Danio rerio: one gene and its partners. The protein of the gene in region 3 interacts with the protein of the main gene of each other region in a pairwise test. Links are inferred from orthologs where the notes say so. Each region holds a gene or a part of one and is shown on either strand. Other genes may lie near its edges.

Region 1 (4,438 bases), on a different chromosome or scaffold from region 3:
TCACACTAGCAGCGACTCTGTAGCTGCATGTTGCTCTGGGTGGCGATTAAAACAATTGTGGGTGTTCCCACCTTGAGATTGCTTATAACGTTTGTGGTAATATTCACAGAGAGCAAATGAGTTTGCGTGCCACTGAAAGTAAACGTTGTTCAGAAAATACACAAAATATAAACGGAATCAGTACATAAAACGCTTAACTACAAAGATGATCAAGAAAAAATGTGTTCTCTGTCATTGCGGCTATTTATCTTCAGGCAAACGCAGGTCTGTGTAGGTCTACAGCATGGAGAATACAACATGCTTCTGCCGAAGCTGAGAGAGGATCACGTGAGCTTCTCTGGTGCTCCTATTGGCTGTCACTCAAGCAAGTCACTCTTCATTTGCATAAAGTTGAGCTTGACACACCCACTTTGTCACCAACGGTCGCTGTTGCTCATGTAGATGGAGGTCGCTTGCTCTTTATTGAAATGAATGGTCGCTTGTCGCAGACATCCCAAGTAAGGAAAAGTGATTTCCAGTGAAGACAGGGATGATTTAAGGGAGATTGAGGGGTGGAGGGCGACATATCTGAAGAGCGGGGCAGGGGTGCGCAACGTATCTGAAGAGTGTGAACTGTGCAACTGTGCAAATCTGAACTGTGCAAAGAACTTGAGGACCGGGCAAAAGAAAAACGATTTCCGGGAGATTATCATTCGTTTGCAGGCATCCAGGAGTCTTTATGCATTTGGGGGTGACTCCCGAAATTTCCTGGAAACTTAGGATGTCTGTTGTCACTTGTCGCTGCAAGTCACTCATAGAAGCAGTACACACACATACATATATATGTGTGTGTTTACTAACACCACGTGGCCGCAGTGATTATAGCGGTTAAGAACTACATATCAATTTTACTGTCTTTATTACAAACATGCTCTGTATTAAAAACTTTTAAACTTAATACAAAAATTAAAGAGTTGGAACAAATATTTTATCCCAGTTTATTTGCAAACAAATGTTCTGTGGACATGTCTATACATGTATTATAGAAACGTATGCTGTCAATTAATTCGGTGCACATGGAAACCGCACTCCTATGTCACGTTGAGCCTCAAAATCACTGGGATCTGGGTCCTATTTTAACATCAGGAAATTTTAAAAATGAGACTTGTTGGGTTTCTATTACTCCAACATGACAGTGGACACACAAACAGATAGTTCTGTCCAAACAGCTTACAGAAGCTGATTTTCATCATAGGTGCCCTTTAAATGGTGGCAAAACTAATTTTTAATTAGATTAATTATTTTTCCCTGAGCTATTTTTTTATGACTTTTATTTTTTTTTTTGTTTAAAGATGAAGTAGAGCATAATGTCATATGATAATCGCTGCAGAATCCAATGAAACTTTGAGTGCCCAAAGTGCAATGCGATTTCCTCAGAACTTTCTAGTATCATCCTGAAAAATGAATATAAATGTACAAGAAATAGCTGCTTAAGGGCATCCTGCTATTAACTTTCTCACAAAACAAACACATACAAAAATACCTGCTGAGTGCTGCTGACACACATACAGTTCAAGTCAGTATTATTAGCCCACTTTAATTTTTTTTTCTTTGGTAAATATTTCCCAAATGATGTTTAACAGAGCAAGGAAATGATCACAGTATGTCTGATTTTTTTTTTCTTCTGGAAAAAGTCTTATTTGTTTTACTTTAAGCTGTATAGAAGTGACTTGAAAAAAAATCTAGTCAAATATTATTTACTGTCATCATGGCAAAGATAAAATAAACCAGTCATTAGAAATGAGTAATTAAAACTATTATGTTTAGAATTGTGTTGAAAAAATATTCTCCGCTAAACAAAAAATGCGGAAAAAATAAACAGGAGGGCAAATAATTTATCCAATGATGAACCAATAATGTAATATTGGACTGAAAATGTAAATAACAGGAAATCATACAAATCTTTCTTAATGAAAAGCTAACTTATTACAGGTGATTGTTTTAGATGTACTTCAACTTTCAATGTTAGGTGAATAAGCAACTAAATGGCCTAAAGATATGAATCGTAGTTGAATTACAGTGCATCTCTTGACCTGCAGAATGTCAACACATCCTTCAGTTCATGCATCACAGCAGTGTCATTGACCTCATTCAGATACAAGTTGCCCCCTTACAGAATATACACTGATATATTAAGCCAATCCACGAACACTAAATATAAATCCACAGCATGTCAAGAGTAGATTTACCACGTTTTTAAGTCATGTCATTCTGCTGCCAGGCTGCAGTCGCTCCATCACAGCAAAGCTAAGTCGCAGCTAGCTACGTCCCTGCATAACATACACCAGTTAAACAATAAATCGCATTAAACTAATAGACTTTACATCCCAAACACTCATGGTAAGCTCTTCTGCGTGGCTGTGAGTGACTCTTGTGTCGGCCTGATCCATCTTGAGGCCAGAACTGCTGCAGATGTGTATGTGTGTGTGTGTATGTGTGTCAAACTCCCGGCAAACTGGCACTCCACGACAACACGAGCACACAAACACGCGCTCTCTGCTCGCTCCTCCGTAAAAACACGACAGCATGTCTTTGTAGTGGCTAAAAGAAACACACGACTGTTTGAGGTGTATACATTTTCGCTAGCTCGCTGCGTGCTTACCTTCTCTTCTTCTCCTCGCGTTCTCCAGTTCACTCCCATACATACACACACTCGCCAGCAAACAGAGCCTCTGAACCGCGGAAGTGTCGGCGTTTATCGCTTCCACGTTCAACACGACGGACAGGTCAAGTTCAGCTCTCTTTTAGGAGGCTTGACAGTAAAATCCAGAGTGTGGCATGACTGACCGTTGGGCGGAGGTTGGTGGGACAGTATTTTTTCGACGTCTCTCTCTCTTTCTCTCGCTCGCTCTCGCGCACTGGGTAGGATGACGTAATGGCGCACTCGTCAGGTCGAGTTGTAACTTTTGATGCAGATTGAAAAGTTGCAGGAAGGATTGAAGCTCACTGTCAAATTGAGGTTGTGGCTAATAGACGAGAGACTTGTTGTCTATAAACATCGTTTTTAACTAGGCCAGGCTTCACAAATATAAGGCCTCCGCGCTGTCATAGTTTTTCTGTTAAACAAAATAGTTTGTTAAAATGTAAATCCCATAGACGGTAAATCCAAACAAATTTCTTCATCATATTCGCTAATAATTGTTTGACACTGAAAACACGCCCTACCCAATATATATAAATATATATATATATATAAATATATATATATATATATATATATATATATATATATATATATATATATATATATATATATTTTTTTTTTTTTTTTTTTTTTTTTTGTATAACAAAAATAATTCAAGCTTAGGGGTCTGTTCATTGGTAAAAGAGGAAGGATAGCTTAATAGGGTGAGTGTGTGGGGATACTTTCTGTTGTTCATTTTGTTGTACCTTGCCTGGTGCACTCCATGAATACCAATTAGCACAATGCAACTAAAATCATGTCAGCAAACTAATCTTAAGATATCAAACCAACCTGCCTCAAAAACACAAAACCTTTTTTTTTATTATTATTATTTTGATATAAAAATAAGGAAATTAGATTCTATCTGATGTCTCAAAACAAATTATTGTCTTCTTACTAAGTTTTATTTCGTTTTATTATTCGGTCGGCCCTTTAGAACAAGTCCTCCATTTAAACTTGTCCATATGATAACGACTTTTTTTGTCACCCTCTTACACTTATACACTACGGATTTAGCCTACCTTCCTCTGTCAAGCATCTCTTGGGAAATATTTCAAAAGAAAAACATGCACCATATATATATATATACACACAAACACATACACACACACACACACACACAAATATCAGATGGTAAATCAGCCTTTCTTTCATGCACCACAGTGCAATTTGCATCAAAGATGTCATGGGATTCATTCATTCATTCATTCGTTTTCTTGTTGGCTTAGTCCCTTTATTAATCCAGGGAATGAACCACTAACTTATCCAGAAGGTTTTTACGCAGCGGATGCCCTTCCAGCCACAACCCATCTCTGGGAAACATCCTCACACACACTCATACACTACAGACAATTTAGCCTACCCAATTCACCTGTACCACATGTCTTTGGACTGTTGGGGGAAACCGGAGCAAACCCACGCGAAGGCAGGGAGAACATGCAAACTCCACACAGAAACTCCAACTGAGCCGAGGTTCAAACCAGCGACCTTCTTGCTGTGAGGCGACAGCACTACCTACTGCGCCACTGCCTCGCCAAGTCATGGGATTATCTGAGTAAATTAATTTGTGATAGCACTCTCTGAGGTTGATATTGAGTCAGGTGAACCCACTGATCTGAATATTTGATCATGGAAGCGTTAAAGCTTCATAAATGAGGCAATAGGTGGAGGGTCCATTCATTCATCTCACACCCTAATTATCTCATCAGAGGAGCA
Region 2 (4,308 bases), on a different chromosome or scaffold from region 3:
GCTAGAATTAAAGCAGTTATTAATTTTTTAAAACCCATTTTTGGGACAATATTATTAGCCCCTTTAAGCCAATTTTTTTTCCGACAATCTACAGAACAAACCATTGTTATACAATAACTTGCCTAATTACCCTAACCTGACTAGTTCACCTTATTACCCTAGTGAAGCCTTTAAATGTCACTTTAAGCTGTACAGAAGTGTCTTGAAAAACATCTAGTAAAATATTATTTACTGTAATCATGATAAAGATAAAATAAATAAGTTTTTAGAAATGAGTTATTAAAACTATTATGATTAGAAATGTGCTGAAACAATCTTCCCTCCATTAAACAGAAAATGGGGAAAAAATAAACAGGGGCGCTAATAATTCAGGGGGGCTAATAATTCTGACTTCAACTGTATATTATTTAGCCAATTACCCTGATTATTTAGTTTGTTTTAAGAAAAAACTCACTTATTTTTGACATGTTATTTCTGAGGATTTTAAGTGACTAAAACACTGAAGTATATGGATGGCAGGTGCCCACAATGTACAGTTTGTGATCATTTCTTTGTTTTATTCTGTTGATATTTGATTGAAATATGGAAATATGGGTGGATAGTGCTGCGTTTCTATAAAGAGCTCAGTGTAGCCGTCATTATGGCTCAGTGTTATTTATTTATTTTTTTACCTGGCAGGTCTACACACACGTCACATGACTGAAAACTATATATTGGCACCCTGAGTGTAGGTGTGTTTGTACCAGGAGCAGCGCTGCCAGTGTGTGGCTGTCGTTCTTGGCATGATTGAGGGCATGAAGGCATCGCTCCAGCAGCTCTCTCTGAGACGGGCTCAGGGCCCCCGGGCTGTCAGCAGAGCCAGAGCCGGGCCCTTCAGTGCTGGAGCCAGGACAGCCTATCTCTGCCATCTTCACATTCAATCCTATATAAAACACACATCAGATATGCTGCTATTAACTGCAGAACCTAATATATGCACATATAAACACACATCACATAAACTGTTGGATCAAATATATGTGCATGAGGACATATTACACAGATTTATTTACTTAAATATTATTTTAGTCAACGAACATCTTTAGAAATAGAAAAATAATGCACAAAAAATCATGCAAAATAAAATAAACAAATAAAAATAAACTAAATTTAATATATATATATATATATATATATATATATATATATATATATTTACACACACACACACACACACACACACACATATATATATATATATATATATATATATATATATATATATATATATATATATATATATATATATATATACATACATATATATATATATATATACATATACATATATATATACATATACATATATATATACATATACATATATATATATATATATATATATATATATACATATATATATACATATACATATACATATATATATACATATACATATATATATATATATATATATATATATATACATATATATATATATATATATATATATATATATATATATATATATATATATATATATATATATTAAATTTAGTTTATTTTTATTTATTTATTATATATATTATTTATTTATTTATTTATTTTTTCCTCTTACATTGTTTTATTTAGTCTCTCATATAATATATATCTGCAAAATTATAAAAAATAGGACTTTACAAACTTTATTATAAATAAATCATATAAACATTTGGATATTATTTAAAGAAAATACTACAATTAATTTTTAAAAATGCATAATATATTTACTATTCATATGCATAATTTTACATTTTTTTAAAAATCTGTAAAATTTAGATTTTTTTGAAACACATCAGATACACTGTTATTAACTGCTGGACTAAATACATGTGCATGAGAAGAACTGATGGCTAAAACACTTAATTGAGGTAAAGTTTTTATATTCACACATTCAGACGTTCTCCTCAATAATATAAAATCAGAAAAGTACTTATGCAAACGACTATCAAAGTACAATGTTGTTCACAGTCAATTAAATAGTGCTAATGATGTTTTGAAGTCATGTTTACAAGCAATTTCAATCTGAATATTCAAAGTAGTGTGGTGAACAATATAGGCACGATAACACTAATTGTCAGTGTTCAAAAACGATAACCAACTTTACCTCTATAAACACTTATACAGCTGCTTTATAAGGATAGTTCAGCCAAAAAATGTAAGTTTACTCCCTTTTTACTCAACCTCAAGTGGTTATAAACCATTATGAGCTGTTTTCTTCTGTTGAACACTAAAGAAGATATTTTGAAGAATGCTGAAAGCCTGTAACCATTGACTGTAGTAGGAAAACAAATACTATTGAGGTTAATGGTTACCAGTTTCCACATTTCTTCCAAATATCTTCTAACAGAAGAAAACAACTCATAAAGGTTTGTAAAGGGTGAGTAAATGATGACAGAATTTTCAGTTTTAGGTGAACTGACCCTTTAATACCGAGGAAACGTTCAAGCTTATCTGTACAGCTCGTTTCACAATAACTTAACTAATCACCCCAAAGCGCACACTATTACATCACAAACAAAATCAGAAAGACGTTTTTAAAACGTTATCAAGATTAAAAGTTTATATATGGTTAATTTACAGATCGTTTACTGTTATTTTATATTTCATTACTGTATTATTAAGACAGAGTAAGTTAAATTAACTGACTAAGTAACAACAAGCTAAGTCATATTTTAACACACATATACATGGCATAAATCATCTAAAAAAAGTGTAGATAAAATTTAAAAAAGTAATAAATATACACCATTTTATTACAGTAGTCAACAAACCTGAAGCAGGCAGGATTCTCGAACACACACGCTGAAGATACGCGGATGAAACATCTCGCGAAACAAAATGAGAGGACACGATTTCAAAATAAAGGTCTTTGGGTAATCGAAAGCATATTTTTTTACAGTCTCTGGCATAATGTCAAAGTTTTTTTTTGTATTGTATGGTCATCAACCATGTGGAGCTGAGAATTGTTGATTACCGAAAATTGTAGTCTAGGGGAAATATATACATGAATACCAATTATTAACGTGAAATGATGTATACCTTTAAAACAATGATTTATTTACTACTGCTTTATTATTCCGACTATCGTTTTTCTATATAAGCAAAGTTATAAATAACATGGAACGTGAACACTTTTAGTAGAAACTCATGTTTTGAAATATTCATTATTTTTATGTAATGTTATTATGTATGTAATTTGTTTCTTTTTTGCACCTGTTTTTATTGTACTTTTTAAAAGCTGTTGTAATATACAATATGTTCAATAAAAATGTTAAATAATATTACCAAAAAAACATGAAACAATAAATTAGTAGAGGTACCTTTATGTGATCCATGAAACCGGAAATGATAACACGAGTGATGGCTGACGCTCCGTTTGAAACTGAATGGAAGCAAGCGGAGAAATCGTTCAAATAAAAGGAGATTATTACTCTTATCCGCCGGAATTAAACTAATTAAGGAGCAGCACAGAGAAGCGCAGTGAGTTTTTTCGCCTTTATATTCATTCCTCATCCGTTCGCTCGTTGTTCTTTTATAAACACGGTTCAGTTTTGTTCATTCATGAAGTGATAACGTAAATTCACCCACAAATGGAAATTCTGCCATCATTTACTTGTTTCAAACCATTATCAAGTTGTTCTTCTGTTAAACTCTAAAATAGATATTTAGAAAAATGTTGAAAACCGCTAATTACCTATTGACTTCCATTGAGGTACGGTTGGTTTTATATTCGCACATTCATTCGGTGACAGCTTGTGACGGGCTCTCTATATTGTTTACCCTGGTACTTTAAATATTCGGCTTGGAATCAATCAAGAGTGACTTCAAAACAACATTAGCACTATTTGACTGCAAACAGTGTTGTACTTTAATAGTCATTGTTCTATTAAATCTATAAATATGGTTTAGGGTTCATTCAGTATGGGGGTGTGCGAGAGATCTGCAGAGTGGATGATCAACATCAACAGCCTGAGGTATCAAGACATCTGTGCTGCCCATTACATTACAAACCACAGGAGAGGGACAATTCTCCAGCAGGATAGCGCTCCTGCTCATACTTCAGCCTCCACATCAAAGATCCTGAAAGCAGAGAAGGTCAAGCTGCTCCAGGATTGGCCAGCCCAGTCACCAGACATCAACATTATTGAGCATGTCTGGGGTATGATGGAGGCATTGAAGATGAATCTTGATGAACTCTGGGATCCTGCTGAATGCTTTCTTCTTCATTCCAGATGACTTTATTAATCAGTGATTTGAGTCATGTCAGAGATGTATGGATGCAGTCCT
Region 3 (3,656 bases):
ATATAGTTAAGGACATGCTACCATTGTCTCTCACATTGTCCCACAACAACATTTAGGGTAGATTAGAGTACAGGGTTTTAAATTTATTTTATAGTCATTTGACAAATTTGGAAATTTTTTGGCACATTTGCTATTAACTAGGTGCAATGGTGAAAACGGAATGCTTCACTAGTGAGGAAATGTATCTTCTCCTGCACAATGTTAAACTGGGCGGCCATCTATGTAATGAGCTGAATTCCACCTAAGCCCTCTGAGGTGAAGGTTTGGAAAGAGGTAGCTAATTTTATATTTATGTAGAAAATAATAATGTTTTATATTTTAATCCTTTAATCTTGCATATTAAAGATATTTGTGTGCTGCTGTGCATACCTGTGTGGATAATAAGCAAAGTGGACTTACAATTTGGCCCCACCTATCACCAACATGCACTTTATATGACAACAACAACAACAAAAAACTGTATCATTGACATTAGACTAGCTTTTAGTTAGTCAATGCCACAGTTTCAGTTGCCTCAGAACAGCAAGGGGGCAGCAATGCTCCCTAACACAGCTCCTTTTCAAAGCAGCACACAAATTGGTGCAAATGCATACCTGTGCCAAGCTGAAACAAGCAAAAAACACTTCTCTCACATCTGGCACTGCACTGCACCAGGTATATGGTAGGGCCCTAGATGTAAACAGTGCCCTAATTAGACTGAAAACCGAAAGAGAAGCCAGACAGAGTTACGTTTAGCCATATGAATTTGGTCTATTGCCTCTTGACCCTTGAGAAGTGAACAAGTGCTTCATCAGAGCCGGTGTCAACCCGGCTCCATTAGGCTCATGTGTAACTAATGCTATGATCTCTTGAGTCGGCATAACGCCACGGCAGACAGATGCACGCGCACCCGTATTGTGTTACCGTTGACACGGAGCTTGTGTGCTTCTGATGTCCGGGCTTTTGAAGATAAAGAGGCCTGGCTAGCCATTGCTCATATCTGCTGTCCAAAAACTGAGTCACCTTGAGGTGTCAATCAGTTCTGCTCCTTTCATTCAGTGCGTGTTATTCCGACAGTTTTTCAACGGGATGAAAGCACACTGGGGAGCAGTAGTCTCTCATAGAGATGTGAGATTTATGGCAGGAAGACTTTGAAAATAACGAACAGCTTGTAAGACCACACAGATGAGATGCGTGTAGAGAATGAGGGGTCGGGGTATGTAGATTTGCTTTGCACTTCATTAGATTAAGCAGTAGAGCACAAGATGCACAAGCTGTGGAGAGTTTGTTTGGAGCTAACAAAATAAATGCCAGTTCAAGAGCCAAGTTCAGAGCCAGAGTCACAGATGAAACTCAATGCTGACATCATGTGGTCAGTAACAGCGCTGCCAAACTCCTCCCTTTGAAAATCATCATTCATTTTCCATAGCTTAGTCCCTTATTTATCAGGGGTCACCACAGCAGAATGAACCGCTAACTTTTCCAGCATATGTTTTATGTAGCGGATGCCTGTCCAGCCACAGTCCAACACTGGAAAGCAACCATACACTCTCACATTCACACAATTACAGTTTATTCAATTCACCTATACCACATATCATTGGACTGTGGGGAAAAGGGGAGAATGCAAAGGACACCCACGCAAACTTAGGGAGAACATGCAAACTCCACACAGAAATGCCAACTGGGCCAGCTGGCACTCGAACCAGCAACCTTCTTGTTGTGAGGCAACAGTGCTAACCACTGAGCCACTGAAAAGCACATGTATATTATGCATAATATATATAATGAAAATAAAAATACATTCTCCAAACTATTTGTTCTATATAGAGTTATGAAAATATTAAGGTTGTTATTATTACTATTATTAATATTACTGCAACCTGATATAGGACAATTATTTAGTTATAATTATTAATAATAAAGAATTATTCTTATACTATCAAAATCAAAAGTTTAGGGGTGTAACAGATCACGGTTGATTCATGATTCATACGGATCACAATCCACCGTTTGGAACACACATGGTCTGCTGATTAATACTTTTTTTACTGGTAGATTAATCCTAAATATGTAATGATCGCAGAGACCTCTTGTGTCATTCAAATCACATATATAAAAGCATGTAGGCTTTCTTGTAAAATATAATGATCATGGAAAAAGTTGTGGTAGGCTATTCGGCATGTGGTGGGTTTCATTAAAGGTGTTTGCTGTTACTACTTGTTTAGCCTGCATCAATGCATTCAGTGTAAGCTGCACGATTAATCATTAAAAGTTTGGGGTTCCAACACCCACTCAACATAAATTATAAATGATGGTGATTTACATATGTTTATTAATCCTTCAAAATGCAAAAAAAAAATGATTTGAGACTTTACTCTTTTGAGTTCTGAAGTTACAAACAGTACAGATTATAGTTTAGATAAAACCACTGATGTTTATGATAAAGATTAAAATCACCATCATATGCATTTAATGACAAATATAAAAATATTATAAAAATATTTATATATTGCTTTCACTCTAATTTAAAATGATTTCATAAAAATAAAGCTAATAAACCACAAATGTTGGTTGAATATATTATTCTTGTTATTATTAGATTCTAATAATAGCTAAGACTAGATAAAGTAAGATTTAAATTCTTATAATATCAAAATAAATTATATAAAGAGATAATAAGAAAAATATCTATTTATATGCTCCTTTATTGTGGTTATTAATAAATATTTCTATATATAAAAATACTGTACAAAGAAACTTTTAAAAATTCCTATTTATATACTGCTTTGAATAAAAATGTGATTGTTTTGACAAATCTATTTAACCACAAATTATGAAACATCACCAGTATCACCTATAAAAGTACAAATTCTATTCCTTCGGAAGTCATGATGTAACTCACCAATCCCATATTTAGAGCGATAATACTCTTTAGTGAAGTAGTCGCAGTCACATATTAACACCCTTCGACCCCATACATTAATGACAGCTCCAATAGTCAGATCAGAGTCTTTATAGAACTCTTCTTCCAATGCTCCAGTCTGTAAACAGTGAGTGAAAAAAGTTACATAACAATTGACTAATAAACTAATTTGAATCATATTTATAAGGAAACTGAGTAATTATGTTTATAGGGCATTCACTATGGGCACTTTTGTTTGTTTTTTAATCAGAACTTACTTTGAGGCTGTCCAAAATGTAGCGTCCTCCTTGTCCGACTGGTCCAAATACATTGAGGACTGTGCGGTCTGTAATTTCTCCAGGCTGACGTTTGGGAATAGGAGCATGCTGTTTAGAGAAATCAGGAGAAAATGACTGCATTTTTTTATAACTTAATGGACTAGAGAAATATGCTATTGGGGATAATTATTTTCTCATTGGGGGATTCCTGTAAACCTTTTCAGATGACATTTAATGAAAGGCAACAGAATGTGTGACAAGGCAACATTACAATAGAAAAAAAAAAAACCTGGACAAATCATTCTTCCTTCATAATGAATTTAGACTGAAAAACAAGCAGGGAGGAAACTGAAAAGTGCTTTAGGGAAGTTGGATGTTCTTTCAGCCCTGTCAGTCTGGATAAAAGCTTGGCATAGAGGATGGGGGAAAAAGAGGACAGAGGAACTGATAACCACTTAGCCTCATCTAAAGGTGGAACAAACTGTATTCAACTG

The links.
Region 1: the proteins of efhc2 (region 3) and mapk9 interact in binary tests that used the Homo sapiens proteins (3 or more experiments, as listed by UniProt). The two-hybrid records come from large-scale screens. The link is inferred for Danio rerio from reciprocal best matches to the Homo sapiens genes EFHC2 and MAPK9.
Region 2: the proteins of efhc2 (region 3) and ncdn interact in binary tests that used the Homo sapiens proteins (3 or more experiments, as listed by UniProt). The two-hybrid records come from large-scale screens. The link is inferred for Danio rerio from reciprocal best matches to the Homo sapiens genes EFHC2 and NCDN.

The regions. Positions count from the first base shown.
Region 1 is NC_133196.1:35,054,973-35,059,410, forward strand, and holds the start of mapk9 (mitogen-activated protein kinase 9), read right to left. Parts: upstream 2,850-4,438; 5' UTR 2,642-2,849; intron 1-2,641. UniProt on the Homo sapiens protein: Serine/threonine-protein kinase involved in various processes such as cell proliferation, differentiation, migration, transformation and programmed cell death.
Region 2 is NC_133194.1:50,429,278-50,433,585, reverse strand, and holds the start of ncdn (neurochondrin), read right to left. Parts: upstream 2,850-4,308; 5' UTR 2,793-2,849; intron 923-2,792; 5' UTR 909-922; coding exon 744-908; intron 1-743. UniProt on the Homo sapiens protein: Probably involved in signal transduction in the nervous system, via increasing cell surface localization of GRM5/mGluR5 and positively regulating its signaling. Required for the spatial learning process.
Region 3 is NC_133184.1:35,465,912-35,469,567, forward strand, and holds part of efhc2 (EF-hand domain-containing family member C2), read right to left. Parts: intron 3,271-3,656; coding exon 3,163-3,270; intron 3,070-3,162; exon of another isoform or gene 3,024-3,069; coding exon 2,885-3,023; intron 1-2,884. UniProt on the Homo sapiens protein: Microtubule inner protein (MIP) part of the dynein-decorated doublet microtubules (DMTs) in cilia axoneme, which is required for motile cilia beating.